Macaca mulatta: one gene and its partners. Each later gene encodes a partner of the first gene's protein in a complex. Links are inferred from orthologs where the notes say so. Each region holds a gene or a part of one and is shown in the gene's direction. Other genes may lie near its edges. The genes, in order: RAB35, RUSC2, ACAP2 and DENND1B.

Region 1 (3,934 bases):
GCTCACGTGACCACCCCCACCCACGGCTGTTTTTGCTACTATCTCCCCTGCCTAGAGCAGTGGTTTTTGGACTGTAGCTCATGACCTATTTGTGTGTTTTGAAGTGAATTTTGAGGGCCCTAAAATTTCTTTGAATTGAAAAGAAAAACCCAGAGTGCCTGTAGGTCTACCATTCTCAGACACAGCTGGTGTGTCCCCACCTAGCCACTCTAAAGGAGCCTGTCCCGCTCCCACCAGTCCCATCCCGTGTTATTTCCTATGTGTCACTATTCACTCTTGGAAATTGTCCCCTTTGTTTGTTTCCTTGCATCCTGTCTCCCTCCTTCACTTGTGTGGAGGGACCTTGTGAACAAGGATGTTCAGGGCTGTGTCCCTGGGACCTAGAATGTGCCAGGCATATGTAATGAGTCAGGAGAGTGGGGGAGCCTGGGGGTGTGTTGTGTGCAGTGTGGGGCTCGGGGCCTGGGAGGATACCGCCTCGGGCCTCGTTAACTGCCCTGTGTGTGCAGGCAGCTACATCACCACGATCGGAGTGGATTTCAAGATCCGGACCGTGGAGATCAATGGAGAGAAGGTGAAGCTGCAGATCTGGGACACAGCGGGGCAGGAGCGCTTCCGCACCATCACCTCCACGTGAGTCCACCTGCTCACTCCCACCCAACCCGCGCCACTGACCTGTGCCCGCCCACTCCCACTCAACCCACATCACTGACCTGTGCCCGCCCCCTCCCACCCAACCCGCGCCACCGACCTGTGCCCGCCCCTCCCACCCAACCCGCGCCACTGACCTGTGCCCGCCCCCTCCCACCCAACCCACGCCACTGACCTGTGCCCGCCCCGTCCCACCCAACCCACATCATTGACCTGTGGACATGGTTGAGCGACTGGTGCCTGCATGGTGGAAATGTCACTGAGGGTCCCTGAGGCTGTCGGGAAGTGAGCCTGTTGTTGGCTGTAGTAGATGGCGTTTGGTTGCACCCTTCCCAGTCCTGAAGGTGTGAGGGGAATGCTGTAGGGGGAGTCGCTGAGCACCCTGGCTGGAGTCTGGCCGGATGGCCGGACAGTGGCCATGTTCAGCCTCCTTGGAGAGTCAGCCGACCCTCCAGCCCACTGCGCCGTCACCTTACAGAGGGAGCAGAATAGCGTTTGCCTTACTAGGGGGTTGCAGAGTGCCCTGCCCGCCCAGGACTTAGTCACTGACAATTCCTCTTGGTAGGTGTCAGTTATGGCAGCTGGAGTTGGCCTGTGCAGGCTCCCGTCACCCACCCTGATGCCTTGGAGGTGACGCTGTCCAGAGACCTGTTGGTGCATGTCAGCAGGCCCTTCCCTCCCCTTAAAGCTGTTCCTGGGAAATCCGGCCGCCCACCAGTTGCCCGCCGTTGTGGCTAAGCTGCAGGCCGGGGGAAGCTGGGCTCCAGCGCAGATGGACAGTGTCCTTCGGAGCAGCTCCTGGTTATTGCGTTGTTAATGGAGCAGGTTTTAGGGAAGAGCGGGGTCTGAAGGGACCGATTTGGAGCTGTTGGACTGTGTGTCCTTAGGCAAGTTGCCGAAGCTCTCTGCGCTCGTTTCCTGGAGGGACTGCCTCTGGGATTGGCTTCCATGTGGAGGGTGCTGGGTGCTCTGCCGCAGCCGTCAACGTGCGTGGCCGGGGTTTGGTGTCTGCAGCTCCGTGTGCTCGGTGCTGCTGTCATCCCATTTGACAGAGGGTGCCCTGGAGGGGTCCCTCCCATCGGCCGAGCCTGTGCTCCACACAGTAGCCTGTGAAGAGTGAGGGGCGCTGTCTGGCTCCACAGACACCTCCTCGGCTCTCTCTGGAAGTGACCTCAGGAAGGCGAATGAGGAAGTCCCGGCCAGCGGTCCCCTCCCTCCCCACAGCATGAAAGCTGGGTACTCCCCAGGCTGGCTGCCCACCCCGGACCCCTCGGCATCTCCCAAGGGCGGGAAGTGTGGGGTGCAGCGCCCCCATGGGTGGCTGGGAGTGTGGGGGAGAGCAGGGCTGCTGGAGGAGGGACAGGTGCACTGGGCGAGCAGCTCCTGGGGCTGGAGTCGAGGCAGAGGGCTTGTCACTGGGTTCACCCTATGCTGAGCGCATTTGTGCTGCGGCCTGTGATGCCCCGAATCCCTGGGAGCTCCCAGTCCTGGGGTCGCCCGGGTGTGGTGCTGTGTGGTGACTGTTGATGAGTCCCGTGAGCGAGGGCTCTGTGGCCTGCATGTCTTGGCAGCTGCCAGTGAGAACCTGCGGAGGACGCTGGGGCAGGGCTGGCATCAGTGCTTTGGGCAGCGCAGCCCAGGCGAGACAAGCCCTCATGCTCTGGCCAGGGCTGGTCTGGGTGCTGACCTCTCGCGTCCTTGCTCTGGGTTGGGCCTGTCGCTAGGATTTCAGCTGCTTTATTTCGGTTAATCCCGGTAGAGAGACCTGTGACTATCTCCATTTTATGGACAGGAAAACAGGCCCAGGGAGGAAGAAGCCTCCTAACTCGGGGGGCGGGGGTTGGGGGCACTCAGGATTGGCCCTGAGGCTGCCGAGGCCCTGCACCAGCTGGTCAGGTGGTACCCCTGCTTTCCCGCCCCATCCTGTGCCTTCAAACCAGGTGGAGGTCAGGGCAGCAGAGGTTTGGAGGCCCGTGGCCATGAGGAATGAACCCTTTGGGCAGGGCTGTGGGGCCTGGGGGGGTCTGAGGCTCTTTCAGCAGGAGGAGCCACAGCCCCTCCCTGTCACCATGCAGTCAGCTGCTTTCCAGGCTGGGCAGGGCGCGAAGAGGGTGAACTGGTTCCTCCATCTGTGGGGAGGTGGGGAGGAGTCACTCGGCTTCTTGGGAGCATCATGGGTTTTCCCAGGGGGCTTGGGAAGGGGCAGCCTGTGGGCAGCTGCTGGGCCCCAGATGGAGTCCCACCTGTCTGGGGAAGCAGAGAGGTAGCTCCATCTTGGAGTCCCACTCTGGCCCTCATGAGGCAGGAGGCCCAGCAGGGCGCACTGAGGGGCCCCTGGAAGTCTCGACGCCCTTTGATGGTCACTGGCAAAGAAGGAAGGAGTTTTGGTGAGATGAGGAGTTTTCAGGAATGGGGCAGTCAGGATGTAGTAGCGTGACTTTTTCCGACGCAGGGCATTCAAAGAGAAACCGAAACCGCATCCTGTTAGCCTGGTGAGAAAGAGCCCTGTGGTCACCCCCTCTCGAGTTCTTGCTCTCAGAAGCTGAGGTTTGCCAGCCCTGAGAGGTGCGGGTGGGGTGGAGGTGAGGGGAGAAGTGACAAGGAAGGCAAGGCCCTGGCATTGGGCCTGGGAGTCAGCCCTGAGCGCCAGGACTTCCAGCTGGCCGCCGCACTCAGCCTCACGTCCTCGCTGGTCACATGGCCAACCTGAGGTCTGCTGGATCAGGTGGCTGCAGAGATTAATAAGGTCATGGATCCCAAGCCCCCAGCTCTGTGCCTGGCCTAGAGCAGAGTCCCCATGAGTGAAGGCGATTCCTGGTGGCCATGGGAAGCCTCGGTGCTCTGGTTCCTCCTAGCCAGAGCTCTGAGCCCCTGACTTCATCCCCAGACACATTTTCTGCTCTTACATAAAGCCCCTGTCCTGGGCCCCAGATGAGGCGGAGGCGCCCAGGGAGCCGCGGGGGCTCTGTGCCGGGGCCATGGTTGTAGGCGTTTCTTGGCATCTCTGATCATCTTCAGCAAAGGAGAGTCTGCAGAGCCATCCACTCCTTGGGCTTCCTCTGCTGGCAGGGGACAGTCGCCTGTTCCTGTGGCTCTGGCGCGCCCTCGCTCTGGAAGGCGTCTGACACGCCATGCTGTGTGCTGACCCGGCGCTCTCAGCAGCAGCTGCCAAGGCTAGAGCTAGTTCGTGGGCTCAGTGGCAAGACAGCTACCCCAAAGCCAAGGAGCGATGCTGCCCTGGAAGCAAAACTGTGGGCAGGATGAAGCCCTGGGAAGAGATCCC
Region 2 (3,560 bases), on another chromosome or scaffold:
TGTAGATAATAACCTAGTGTTTCATGCGGGCCGCTGGGTGGGTGTCAAACTGTCTCACTGTCTCCTGCCAACTCTTGTCTTTCTGCTGATCTGTCTGCTTCCAGCCAACCACCTATCCCCTCAAGCCCTTAAGTGGCGGGAATACAGGAGGAAGAACCCACTAGGGCCACCCGGTTTGTCAGGGATCCTAGACCGAAGATCACAAGAAGCTCGGCTGGCCCGAAGAAACCCTATCTTTGAGTTCCCTGGCTCCCTCAGTGCTGCCAGCCATCTGAACTGCCGGCTGAATGGTGTGTGAGCAGGGTCCCCAGTACACCCGGGGCAGGCTCTGCCATGGCTGGGAAGGGCTAGAGAAGGGGTCAGTCCCAAAGGAACATGTCTCAGACAGTACAAGGCACTGAACTGGGCTGGAACTCCTGCACCGAGAGTTGCTCAGGATTGACTTTTCTCTTCTTTCCAGGCCAAGCATTGAAGCCGTTTCCACTGACCTGCCCTGACTTCCAGGACCCCTTTTCCTTGACGGAGAAGCCTCCAGCTGAGTTTTGTCTGTCCCCAGATGGCAGCTCAGAGGCCATTTCCATTGACCTGCTTCAGAAAAAAGGTGCATATAACCCCCAGCTCAGGCCAGGGACTCTGCTGTCACTACCTCCTCACACTTGCCCTACTACCTAGCCAGTCTTAAATCTCTACGTGCTGGCTGGGCCCGGTGGCTCAAGCCTGTAATCACAGCACTTTGGGAGGCCAAGGCAGGTGGATCATGAGGTCAGGAGTTCGAGACCAGCCTGGCCAACATGGTGAAACCCCATCTCTACTAAAAATACAAAAAAAATTTGCTGGGCGTGGTGGTGGGTGCCTGTAATCCCAGCTACTCGGGAGGCTGAGGCAGGAGAATCATTTGAACCCAGGAGGTGGAGGTTGCAGTGAGCTGAGATCACACCATTGTACTCCAGCCTGGGCAACAGAAGTGAAAACTCCATTTCAAAAAAAAACAAACAAACAAATCTCCAGGCTCTAGGGTCGGAGGAGAAAGCTGTATATCATGAGTGCATATGACTGAGCAAGGGTCATTCATCAGACGCTTTCGGAGTCGGGCTCCAGTCCCTTCCTGCAGTGAGCAAAGTCTCATGAGGAGGCTTCCATGTCATCAAAAAATGCCTCAGTGCTCTTGGAGGGGCAGGTGAAGGTACTAGAGGGCCTGGCAGCTTGGGTAAGCGTGTTGGTGACATCTAGTAAGATGAAGACTGACAAGACCCACTCTAAGAACATTTTTAGGGAGATGGAGAGAACTGAGCATAATTGTGGGCTGAAGATGAGCCTGTGAAGAGAGCTTAAGTTCCCTGCAAAGGCAGAAGGGGAGAATCAGAGCTCAGGGAGAAAGAACCCGGGCAAGAAGGGAAACAGCCACCTTCCTCCAGGACATGAAGGGGATGCAAGTGGGCAGGGGAGTGAGGGGTGTACATATGAGATTGTTACGAATTTTGGAGGCAGAGGGAAGTTAAAAGAGTTTATAACTAGGGGCCCCTGTTCTCTGAAGCAGAACCAAGGGCTTGAGAGGAGTGGTGTCGATTTCACATGGCAACTTGAGGGTATGGCAGGGAGTGCTGACAAAGCACGTATCAAAGAATCGCCCTTGTCTGGCACTGGTGTGAGGGACTTGGGTTTTCTTCAGGTCAGTGGCCTGGTTTCTCAGAGTGGAGAAAACTGATAGTTGGCCTGAGCCAGGATTGGAATAAGAGGACTGAGAGGTGAGGACATTGGGAGGCTTGACAATGGCATCATTGAGGTGGCTCCAGGCTGGGAAGTAGACAGGAAGAGCTTAAGAACTGGGTAGAACCAGAAAAGGGCCAGGCCTGAATGTTCTGATGAGACCCACATGCAGGTGTGGAGACTGAGTAAGTGTGGGAGCCCTTTCCCACCCCCGCTGAAGTTTCAGCCCCAGCTGAGTTGGCTAAGGACTTGCTCAGGGACCTGTCACATCACATTCTTCCTTGCAGGGCTGGTAAAAGCTGTTAACACCGCTGTGGACCTCATTGTGGCCCATTTTGGCACAAGCCGGGATCCCGGGGTGAAGGTAGGCGAGGAAATGTGAAGAGCTGAGCTCTGCCTGCACGCCCTTACCTGTCCTGCGCTACCACCTTCCCTTGCTGTCTTGCATTTAGAGCCCAGGGTTGGGTACTTAGGAATGGGGATGGCAAGAGGGGAACCATGAGGGCCTGCCATGAGAGGACCACGGTCAGGCCTGAGGCAGTTTACTGCACTTCCCTACCACACCTACAGGCAAAGCTGGGAAACAGTTCTGTGAGCCCCAATGTGGGCCACCTGGTTCTGAAGTACTTGTGCCCTGCTGTCCGCGCTGTGCTGGAGGATGGGCTCAAGGCCTTTGTACTGGACGTCATCATCGGGCAGCGTAAGAACATGCCATGGAGTGTGGTTGAGGCTTCCACACAGCTAGGTAGGTGCTGGGTGCCAAGACGGGGACCCGGGGCTGAATTTAGGGTTCCAGAAATTGGTCATGTGACCTGCAACCCTGGCTTCCTCCCAGGCCCATCCACCAAGGTCCTGCATGGCCTCTACAACAAAGTCAGCCAATTCCCAGAGCTCACCAGTCATACCATGCGCTTCAACGCCTTCATCCTCGGCCTGCTCAAGTGAGTGCACAGAGCGGCAAGATCCCCTAAACAACTTGCTCTGCCCCCGACCCCCGGGCTCTGCCTGTGCCAAGGAACCAACTCCCTGGACAGACAGAAAGGGTGGATCTGGAGGGTCCTCCCAGTCTGCTATGACCTCTCAGTAAGTCACTGCCTTCCCACTGTGCCCATGACTCTGACACTGGTCACCAGCGTGGGCTGCTTTTACAAATCTGTAATCTGACTTATTCGGAAATTAGTTGGGTTTCTTAATTTCTCTGGACCTTGTAAACCCTGATCCTCTCCATTCCAGCACCACTTCCAAATCCTGCTTGACCCTAAGTCCACCTTGGGACCCACATCCTAGTAACATGCTTTCTCAGGTATGGGCCCAGGCCATCTCCTTTGGCCCTGAGCTGCCTGTACTTTCACACAGTAGCCACCTTGATTTCTTAGGTCTACTGCAGGCTGACTTCACTCCAGGGGGAAGCAATTGGCTTGTAAATCACATGTCCATCTCCCTCCACACATCCCCACTGACTCTCTGGAATTAGGTGAAATGAATCGTGCCATGGAAGGGTGCGTTCACCTATTCTTCCTGTGCCTGGCCCCCTGGATCTGTCTCCTTATCTGGCTGTATTCACACAAGACTCAACTGTCTTCACCTGTCTCCCTACAGCATCCGGTCCCTGGAGTTCTGGTTTAATCACCTCTATAACCATGAAGGTAATGCCCAGAACCCTGCAGGTCAAACTCAATGGGTCAGAATTCAGAGGCACAAAAGAGGAAGGAAGAGCTCTTTTCATTGCTGGAGGTGGGGAGGGGGACGACACAAGCGTTCATCCTCAGAGCCTCAGGCTTCCACCCAAGGCCTTCCCCAGCCTCTGCTTGAGTTAAAACCTTGGGCCAGGCACGGTGGCTCAGGCCTGTAAT
Region 3 (3,934 bases), on another chromosome or scaffold:
TAAGAGGATATAAGTAAAAAGTATAGAACAGATATGGCATTTTATGATGGTATCATAAATTAGAAGTTTATTTTATTTCTTCTTAAATTAATAATGCTATATGTTGTTTTAAAGTGGTCTTACGAAAAATTATGGCCATCAGTAGTGCTAGTTCAGTATGTGAAATTATTTCTTTGAGTAAAAATGAAAAAGTTACTTTCTATAAATGTTTAAGTATTTTTTCTGGTGATGTTTTCTACTCTGCAAAAAGCATGAGGGGAGTATAGAAATGAATAGCACAGAAATTAAGAGAAAGGAAGAGTATCATATTAATATTTGTGATTTTTCAGTTAGGTTATTGTTTATATTTCACTTGAGTGTGAAATCATAGTTCATTAGGTATTTGGAAGGAAAACATAATATATATGTGTATAATGTCACAGATTCAGTTTTAACCAGTATTACATTCAGTGACTTTGTTTGAATATATTCAGTATATAATGGTTTGTTTAGTATTAGCCATGCTAAGAGGTTAAGCACAACATCATGACATTTTTATGTATATCAGACAGGAGAAGGAGGCATATATCAAAGCAAAATATGTGGAGAGGAAATTTGTGGATAAATATTCTATATCATTATCACCTCCTGAGCAGCAAAAAAAGTTTGTCTCTAAGAGTTCTGAAGAAAAGAGGCTGAGCATTTCTAAGTTTGGGCCAGGGGACCAAGTCAGAGCATCTGCCCAAAGTTCAGGTATTGCAAACTTTCTTACTGTGTCTATAGCTGTTTTCTTAAGCTCAGATCACTTTTATAATCCCTGAACTAATAGTCATTGTCATATTTTTTAATGTTAAAAACCTGTTCCCTTCTACATATTCTAAGAAAAACTGAATTTCTATGTCTTTAAAATAGTTAACTTTAAACAATGCCATAATATTTCACCTTTCTAGGTAATACGTATATTCTAAGGAATAAAACTGCTTAAAATGCAAGGGGAGATGGGAATTGTAAACCTGACATTCCAAAAGCCCTAAGTATCTGATTAACTACCTGATTTCCTTCCTATTTTTTCCTCCTAAATTTTTTCCCAGTAACGTTTTTTCCTGCCCTTTTCCCTTCTTATGGCCTGCTTTGTGCTTTGCTAACTTGCATGTCCCCAGTGATTGCTGTAAATAGCGACGAGGCCAGGCGGGAGTCTCTGTTTTGTCCTGATGAGCTAGATTCACTCTTCTCCTACTTTGATACTTCTTCAAAACTGCGTAGTAGTAAGTACTACTCTTGTGGAGCATTCCAAGTCTGTGCCAGTGGTCATTGTGCGGTGTGGCCATCTCTGTAGATGTTACCCATTGTCTGAGAATTACACATTCTTACAGTCATATCATAAATTAAGCTCTTTACTACCCCTGACATATTATGGAGTAATGAGATGTGTTACAACTCTGAAAATAAGTTTATTTTCAGGTTTTGTGATTGATTTATATCTTGATAAGCTAAGTGTTGAAAAGGGTTAAAATTATATTAAACGCATTCTACTCGTGGTGCCTGAGTTCATGTTGATGTGTAAGAGCTCATTTTAAAACCTTGTTTGTGGGAGATTGTTTTCTAAATGGCATGAACTTTAATCATTAGTTAATTTTTCTTTAAAACAGTCAAAAGTAATGACAGTGGAATTCAGCAGAGCTCTGATGATGGAAGAGAATCTTTACCCTCCACAGTGTCAGCCAATAGTTTATATGAGCCTGGTGAGTTCTGATGAAACTCAATGTTAATTGGTTTTGTTTGCTGAAAAATGCATGTGGTAAATGTCTATTCTTGATTTTATATATATATATATATTTTTTTTTTTGAGATGGAGTTTTACTGCCCAGACTGGAGTGCAGTGTTGTGATCTTGGCTCACTGCAACCTCTGCCTTCCAGTTTCAAGTGATTCTCCTGCCTCAGCCTCCTGAGTAGCTGGGATTACAGGAACCCACCACCACACCCAGCTAATTTTTGGGTTTTTAGTAGGGACGGGGTTTCACCATGTTGGCCAGGCTGGTCTCAAACTCCTGACCTCGCGATCCACCTGCCTTAGCCCCTCAAAGTGCTGGGATTTGAGCGCCTGGCCCTACTCTTGATGAAATATTTTAAAGGAAGGGGTTAGTTTTTTAGAAGGTAACTAGGGGAGGAGTAATACTCTTAAATGAGAAAGCAGCAATTTCTTCATATTTGGAAATTCTGTCCTAGTTATATATTGTTCATACATTTTTAAAATTTTTATTTATTTATTTATTTTTGAGATGGAGTCTCACTCTGTCACCCAGGATGGGGTGCGGTGGTGTGATCTCTGCTCACTGCAAGCTCCGCCTCCCGGGTTCACGCCATTCGCCTGCTTCAGCCTCCTGAGTAGCTGGGACTACAGATGCCCACCACCATGCCTAATTTTTTTTTTTTTTTTGTATTTTTAATAGAGATGGGGTTTCAATGCGTTAGCCAGGATGGTCTCGATCTCCTGACTTCGTGATCCACCCACCTCGGCCTCCCAAAGTGCTGGGATTACAGGCGTGAGCCACCGCACCTGGCCTACATTTTATTTTTTATTTTGAGTCTCACTCTGTTGTCCAGGCTGGAGTGCAGTGGCACAATATTGGCTCACTGCAACCTCCACCTTCTGGGTTCATGCAGTTCTCCCACTTAGCCTCCTGAGTAGCTGGGTTATAGGTGTATGCCACCGTGCACAGCCAATTTTTGTATTTTTAGTAGAGATGGGGTTTCACCATGTTGGCCAGGCTGGTCTTGAACTCCTGACCTCAAGTAATCCACCTGTCTCAGCCTCCCAAAATGCTGGGATTATAGGCATCAGCCAGCACACCTGACCCATAATTGTACATTCTTCCAAGCCTCATGGTATGTGCTAAAATTGCCTTACCAACTGCCATGGATAATTTTTAATCCACGTGAACTGTGTGTCTTATTATCCTTTATCATTCCTTGTGGCTGTCCTATCAGGAGAATGAGATCGGCAACTCCCTCCCCATTAGATTTCTCTTTTGACTTGTGCTTTATGCCTTTGTTCTCTCTTCCATGATTTCAGTGATTTTGGTCCTGCAGAATACTCAGGGGAGTCAGCACTCCTTAAATTATTTGAAGTGCTTGTAGTGCAAATTGGGATGGAATTGGACCATCCTAGGAATGAAGGGAGGTTTGGTCTAGTAGTAAAAGTTTTTATGGATTCTTGCTGCTTCTTAAGTCCCAACATTTAGGAATATACTCAATTTTAATATAGTACAGAGTAATTAGCCTATCCCTTGGATACTGGCAAGAACAGAAAGGCCTGACGTATCAGTGATTGTCTTTATAGGAGAAGAAGGTGGAATGTTGGGGAATATCTATGTGAAAATCTCCCATAAGCTCATTATGATAGATTAATGGTTTCTTATATCATAGCTTTATTTTTTAAAAATTATGATAAAATGCACATAAAATTTATCTTAACCTTTTTTTTTTTTTTTTGGAGACTGGGTCTCACTCTGTTGCCCAGGCTGGAGTGCAGTGGTGCAGTCTCAGCTCACTGCAAGCTCCGCCTCCCAGGTTCAAGTGATTCTCCTGCCTCAGTCTCCCAGGTGGATGGGATTACAGGTCCCTGCTACTATGCCTGGCTAATTTCTGTATTTTTAGTAAAGACGAGGTTTCACCATGTTGTCCAGGCTAGTTTTGAACTCCTGACCTCAAGTGATCCATCCGCCTCGGCCTCCCAAAGTGCTGGGATTACAGGCATGAGCCACTGTGCCTGGCCCATCTTAACCATTTTTAAGTGTACAGTTTAGTGGCATTAAGTGTATTCACATTAGTGTGCTACCATTACTGCCATTCATCCACAGAACTCTTTTTATCTTGTTAAACTGAAACTATACCTATTAAATATTTTTTTTCTTTTTCTGCCAAGAGCTCATTTTTATTGATGTATTTGTGTTT
Region 4 (4,519 bases), on another chromosome or scaffold:
CCTCTGGCAGACATGGGAAAGTGCATTCTTCCACACAGGTGCTCTTGGAATAAAATGTCCCTGGAGAGTTAGCTTCCTGCTTCATCATTTATAGTACCTGTTTTACCTACTAATCTATACCTCACAGAACTATTGAGAGGCCTAGCTAATAAAAAATGGTCATAAAGCACTTGGCAAAATCACAACAACTATAAAAAAGAATAAATGCAAATGTGGTAAGGCTTGTTTTTCTGGTATGTCCATGAAGTCTTTGTGTATGAAGTGATATAGTGACTCAAATGTTAAAGTTTTCTTTTTTTTTTTCCACAAACTGGGAGTAGTTAAGCCTGCTGGTTTGCTGGAGTAAGTTGTTTCTAGTAGGCCACTTGATTTAAAACCATCCTACTAATTCTAATATTAAGCCTCTCCTCATGAATTCTTGCATAAATTATGTGATAATTAATGCCTGCTTATTTAAAGAGGAAGTACAACATGTTTGTATTAAAAATCAGATAGGTATATAAATGGGTTGTGTAATAATCAATGGCTGTACCTACATCATCACAGAATCCGAATTAGCAGCACCTATTTGGTGGTTTTATTAAGTAACCATAGGGAGAACACAGTATAATTATTATGCACAGTATACATGCTAATGTTATATGTTCCTGATCCATAACTCAGTCCAAGAGGGAAGTGAAGGGAAGGCCCAGGAAACAGCTGTGCAGCAGGCAGAACGAAGTCACTATACACCGATGCAGGAATTTTAGTAAGTCACATGCCTATGGTCAGGCATACGGACAGGAACATGGGTCCAAAATCCTCCTTCCCATTCCAGCCAAGTCCAGTTGTCTTGATTGGCAATCTCAAGAAGAAAGGAAGAAACTACTGGAATTGTGCACCGTGAATGAAGAAAGTCAGGTGAGACTGCATCCTTTTTACAAGGAAACATGTAAGTTCTCACCAAACTAAGAAGACCTTGATCAGTTTCACAGCACTACAATTCTGCTGTTCCTTCTTTCCCACAGAAGATTACAAAATGGTCTGATAAGACCATTTTTGGGCAAGTCTTACTTGCCTAAGACTTGGGTCTGTGACATCAAAAACAACAGCAGAGAGAAAGATGATGTCCAAACTTTTGAAGCCCAGAAGAACTCTCAGTCCTTGTTCATTTTTATCTTGTTATAATTTGCAATAGTAAGAGACTGGGAGTTTGTCATCTGTTTTGGAGTTTCAAATCTCTGTTTATGATTCATAGGAACTTCTGCTGTGGAATTATACCGTTTGACCTGGTATTTGACTGAGTTCTATTTGCTGGAATGTTGCATTTTTTCCCTTCTAGAATCGATCATATACAAATGCATGTAATGTTTGCCTAGTTATTTTCTCATATTTTAGGAAAGCAGTACTTGGCACATAGCAATTTGTTTTGATAATCTCTCTATTTACATTAGTACTAAGGTTGCTTATAGGGGCTGCTGATTCTGTTGAACTATTATCATCATGTTAGATGATCATTTATGTTTCCTTCCAGTAAATTCTAATAACATTGCTCATTGGATGTGATTACTCATTCTCCTGAGAGTATTAAATGGGTGTGAGCAGAGCCGCCATACAAGGAAGACTGTATTCATGTGGAGTATCTTGTAGGTGGGGTTGGGAAATTCTTTCCCATGCAATGCCTCAGGGTTACACAAACACAGCACTCTTTCTTGAAGTCCAAATGAGAATCCTTAAAGAATCTCTGAAGAAAATTTGACTCCACTGATTACCATCTGTTGGTGACACTCTGCTTCAATTATTCTTTGTTCTGAACTCCAAGGACTATTTTAAGCTCTACAATGTCTGGCAGATTGAGGAACAAAGATAAGGGAGGACATGCAGAAGCTGGTCAGAGGTAAGAAAATTTATTTACGATTTTTGGCAAATCACCTGAAAAAGGCAGAAGAAGATCTTTTGCTGTGCTGTATTATTTCTGATAACTTTACTATATTTTCTTACTAAAAGTTTAACAGCAAAATAAACAAATATCATCATTTACCCCTTGAATGTTAGAGATATTTGGATATGTTCAGATTTCGTAGTAAAGATGTCAAAATTTATCTGAGTTCTTTTGTCCACAAACTGGAAGACAACCGTTTTTATTAAATTTGATTTTAAATCAACATAGAATGCTAACTCTATAAGCTTTGAGGTGTGAAACAACTCAGAAAGGCATACTTTCAGGGAAGATATTGCTCCCAAATCCTTACCTCCATCTCTCTTTATTTTAAAAGTATTTCACATGTCTTGTTGAGGGAGATTTACCTTCAGATTCAAATTCATGATATTGCTGCTAAGTATAAAAAGGACAACATGCCAGGAGAATGTTTTCCTTAGCAACACTATCTCAGTCAATATTAAAAGGCAGGTCCTGATAAAATAATTTAAAGATAGTTTCCTAAGAGTGTCAATAAATTTGATTTGTTAAATACTTCATAACTTTTCTTCTATAATAAATGAAGGTGGTGATACTATTCATAAATTTCACCTAAGAATACTAATCAGAGGTTGTGTAGAGTTACAATCTAGGAAATACCTGACTTGGATACATGTTGGCTACAACTTATGAGATGCTTGCCTCAAAAAATTCATTTCTAAGTTAATTGTTTAGAACTCAAAATCTTAATATATATTGGTGAGGCTTATGAGTCTAGTAAAGTTATATTGAACCTGAAGCATTATTAATAGTATTATTTTTAAAAATACCATTCTAGAGTTTATAATAGTGTTTATTATTTCATATTCAGAAGGGAAAGGAGCTGTCAACTTTAGTAGTCCTGGGTATTAGTAACTCTTCACTTCTGTCTAAGGCATATTACTACACGGATTCAATGAATAAGTGGTTGGGGTTGGGAAGCCAGGGGTTACCTTTCCAGTTGTCATAGTATACTGGAAATCAGGGCAGTTGGCTTACTAAAAGCCCTGAACTTGGGTTTCTCTACACCGTTAATATATAAGGATATATAAGTTGGGGACTTTTTGGACATGGTTTGAGGAAGGTGGACATTATTAGGTGGATAAAAAGTTGCAATTAGTCCATTTTACATGACACTATAGTCAGAACTAAGTAATCATTCATTATAGTCTGATCAAAACTTTCATGAAAATCAACTAAAAATTCAGAATTAAGTATTTTAAAAAGTTTACAATGCATTAAAGAGCAAGCAATCAAGTGGAAATATTTAGGGGTGGAGGATGGGGGACAAATAAAAGTAGCCACGAGTGCCACCTTTCCCTGTAATCCCAGCACTTTGGGAGGCCGATGGGGGTGGAACATGAGGTCAAGAGATGGAGACCATCCTGGCCAACATGGTGAAATCCTGTCTCTACTAAAAATAGAAAAATGAGCTAAGCGTGGTGGCAGGTGCCTGTAGTCCCAGCTACTCAGGAGGCTGAGGCAGAAGAATTGCTTGAACCCAGGAGGTGGAGGTTGCAGTGAGCCGAGATCACACCACTGTACTCCAGCCTGGCCACAGAGTGAGACTCCGTCTCAAAAAAAAAAAAAAAAGCCACCTTTCATCTTCCTCTTTAGGGTTTTTCCTAAGCTGGATGAACTGGAAGACCATGAACTGTTATCATGGTGTTACGTGGCTTCAGACCCTTCCTAATGTAGGAAATCCAATAGGATACTCTTCATAAAGCCAATACCCCAAAGGTATTCAAGGACAATTGTCTCAAACAATGGAGCAGAGTTAAGGGTAAAAAAGCTTCCCAGAGGATTCATAGCTACAAACCAGGTCTGACATGAATGATCTGAAGAATTTCAACCTGAGAATTTAGTATTTATGGTTCTGAATTGCTAGTGATCCCAGGCATCTACCAGCAGTAAATTAGTATCTTCTCCAGAGAACTCATTTTCATTTCAGCTGTCACTCAATTTCTATATATAAAGTTCTAAGGATCACATAACATAAAAAGAAATCACATACATAGAAGAAATCAAGGGACCATAAGTAAGAACAAGTAGAAAAAAGATCAGATAGTAGAAGCAGACTCACAAATGCTTCAGATATTGGAATATTTAGAAATAGAATTTTAACTATATATATTAAATGTTTTTAATAAATTAAAGAGAGGCTGAAAAAATGAGTTAAGAGAATACAGATTTGGAAAATAACCAAACAGAACTTTAGAAATAAAAATAACATAAATTAGAAACTAAATGGATGACTTTGACAGAAAATGAGACAAAGCTGAAGAAAGAACTAGTGAACAGAATATTTTTGAAATTTACCAGAATACAGCCTCGAGAGATAAAAGAGAGACATACTATAAAAGAGATGTTTGACAAACATGGAGGGTAGAAAAATACATGTGTTATCAGAGTCCCAGAAGGAATGGAAAGAAAGGAATCCAGAATTTTCCAGAACTGATGAAAGTCACCAATCTAGAGTCAAGAAAATTAAAGAAACCAAGAAAGATGGATGAATAAAAATCTACAACTAGATACTTCACAGTGAAACTATACAAAACTAAAGACAAAAAAGAAAAATCATAT

The links.
Region 2: the proteins of RAB35 (region 1) and RUSC2 are in contact, whole or in part, in a crystal structure (PDB 6IF2), measured with the Homo sapiens proteins. The link is inferred for Macaca mulatta from reciprocal best matches to the Homo sapiens genes RAB35 and RUSC2. Residues at the interface, in NP_006852.1 of Homo sapiens: Asp4, Tyr5, Leu8, Phe9, Lys10, Ser22, Leu26, Asp30, Ile38, Thr40, Val43, Asp44, Phe45, Lys46, Ile47, Lys58, Gln60, Trp62, Thr76, Arg79, Gly80, His82; in NP_001129471.2 of Homo sapiens: Val997, Lys998, Asn1001, Asp1005, Val1008, Thr1013, Arg1015, Lys1020, Glu1119, Glu1155, Leu1158, Leu1159, Gln1161, Pro1162, Leu1165, Leu1166.
Region 3: the proteins of RAB35 (region 1) and ACAP2 are in contact, whole or in part, in a crystal structure (PDB 6IF3), measured with the Homo sapiens proteins. The link is inferred for Macaca mulatta from reciprocal best matches to the Homo sapiens genes RAB35 and ACAP2. Residues at the interface, in NP_006852.1 of Homo sapiens: Arg3, Asp4, Tyr5, Leu8, Ile41, Gly42, Val43, Asp44, Phe45, Ile47, Lys58, Gln60, Trp62, Phe70, Arg71, Thr72, Ile73, Thr76, Arg79; in NP_036419.3 of Homo sapiens: Val715, Ala718, Asn719, Ala720, Asp721, Val723, Thr724, Arg727, Leu728, Arg730, Met731, Glu734, Met735, Ser738, Glu748, Thr749, Gln751, Arg755, Asp756, Gln759, Met760.
Region 4: the proteins of RAB35 (region 1) and DENND1B are in contact, whole or in part, in a crystal structure (PDB 3TW8), measured with the Homo sapiens proteins. The link is inferred for Macaca mulatta from reciprocal best matches to the Homo sapiens genes RAB35 and DENND1B. Residues at the interface, in NP_006852.1 of Homo sapiens: Lys10, Leu12, Ser17, Ser36, Tyr37, Ile38, Thr39, Thr40, Ile41, Gly42, Val43, Asp44, Phe45, Gln60, Trp62, Thr64, Ala65, Gly66, Arg69, Phe70, Arg71, Thr72, Ile73, Thr74, Ser75, Thr76, Tyr77, Arg79, Gly80, Thr81; in NP_001182144.1 of Homo sapiens: Met1, Arg4, Glu43, Ser47, Phe51, Val72, Leu73, Thr74, Asp75, Ile76, Glu77, Ser78, His211, Glu212, Arg213, Arg214, Gln242, His243, Ile244, Ile246, Leu249, His252, Leu253, Asp255, Tyr256, Cys258, Ala259, Pro260, Met261, Pro262.

The regions. Positions count from the first base shown.
Region 1 is NC_133416.1:127,394,625-127,398,558, reverse strand, and holds part of RAB35 (ras-related protein Rab-35), read left to right. Parts: intron 1-509; coding exon 510-633; intron 634-3,934. UniProt on the Homo sapiens protein: The small GTPases Rab are key regulators of intracellular membrane trafficking, from the formation of transport vesicles to their fusion with membranes.
Region 2 is NC_133420.1:64,147,016-64,150,575, reverse strand, and holds part of RUSC2 (AP-4 complex accessory subunit RUSC2), read left to right. Parts: intron 1-104; coding exon 105-290; intron 291-460; coding exon 461-601; intron 602-1,994; coding exon 1,995-2,071; intron 2,072-2,277; coding exon 2,278-2,452; intron 2,453-2,542; coding exon 2,543-2,648; intron 2,649-3,306; coding exon 3,307-3,353; intron 3,354-3,560. UniProt on the Homo sapiens protein: Associates with the adapter-like complex 4 (AP-4) and may therefore play a role in vesicular trafficking of proteins at the trans-Golgi network.
Region 3 is NC_133407.1:3,461,704-3,465,637, forward strand, and holds part of ACAP2 (arf-GAP with coiled-coil, ANK repeat and PH domain-containing protein 2), read left to right. Parts: intron 1-547; coding exon 548-732; intron 733-1,628; coding exon 1,629-1,721; intron 1,722-3,934. UniProt on the Homo sapiens protein: GTPase-activating protein (GAP) for ADP ribosylation factor 6 (ARF6). Doesn't show GAP activity for RAB35.
Region 4 is NC_133406.1:55,405,081-55,409,599, reverse strand, and holds the start of DENND1B (DENN domain-containing protein 1B), read left to right. Parts: upstream 1-1,684; 5' UTR 1,685-1,820; coding exon 1,821-1,876; intron 1,877-4,519. UniProt on the Homo sapiens protein: Guanine nucleotide exchange factor (GEF) for RAB35 that acts as a regulator of T-cell receptor (TCR) internalization in TH2 cells. Acts by promoting the exchange of GDP to GTP, converting inactive GDP-bound RAB35 into its active GTP-bound form.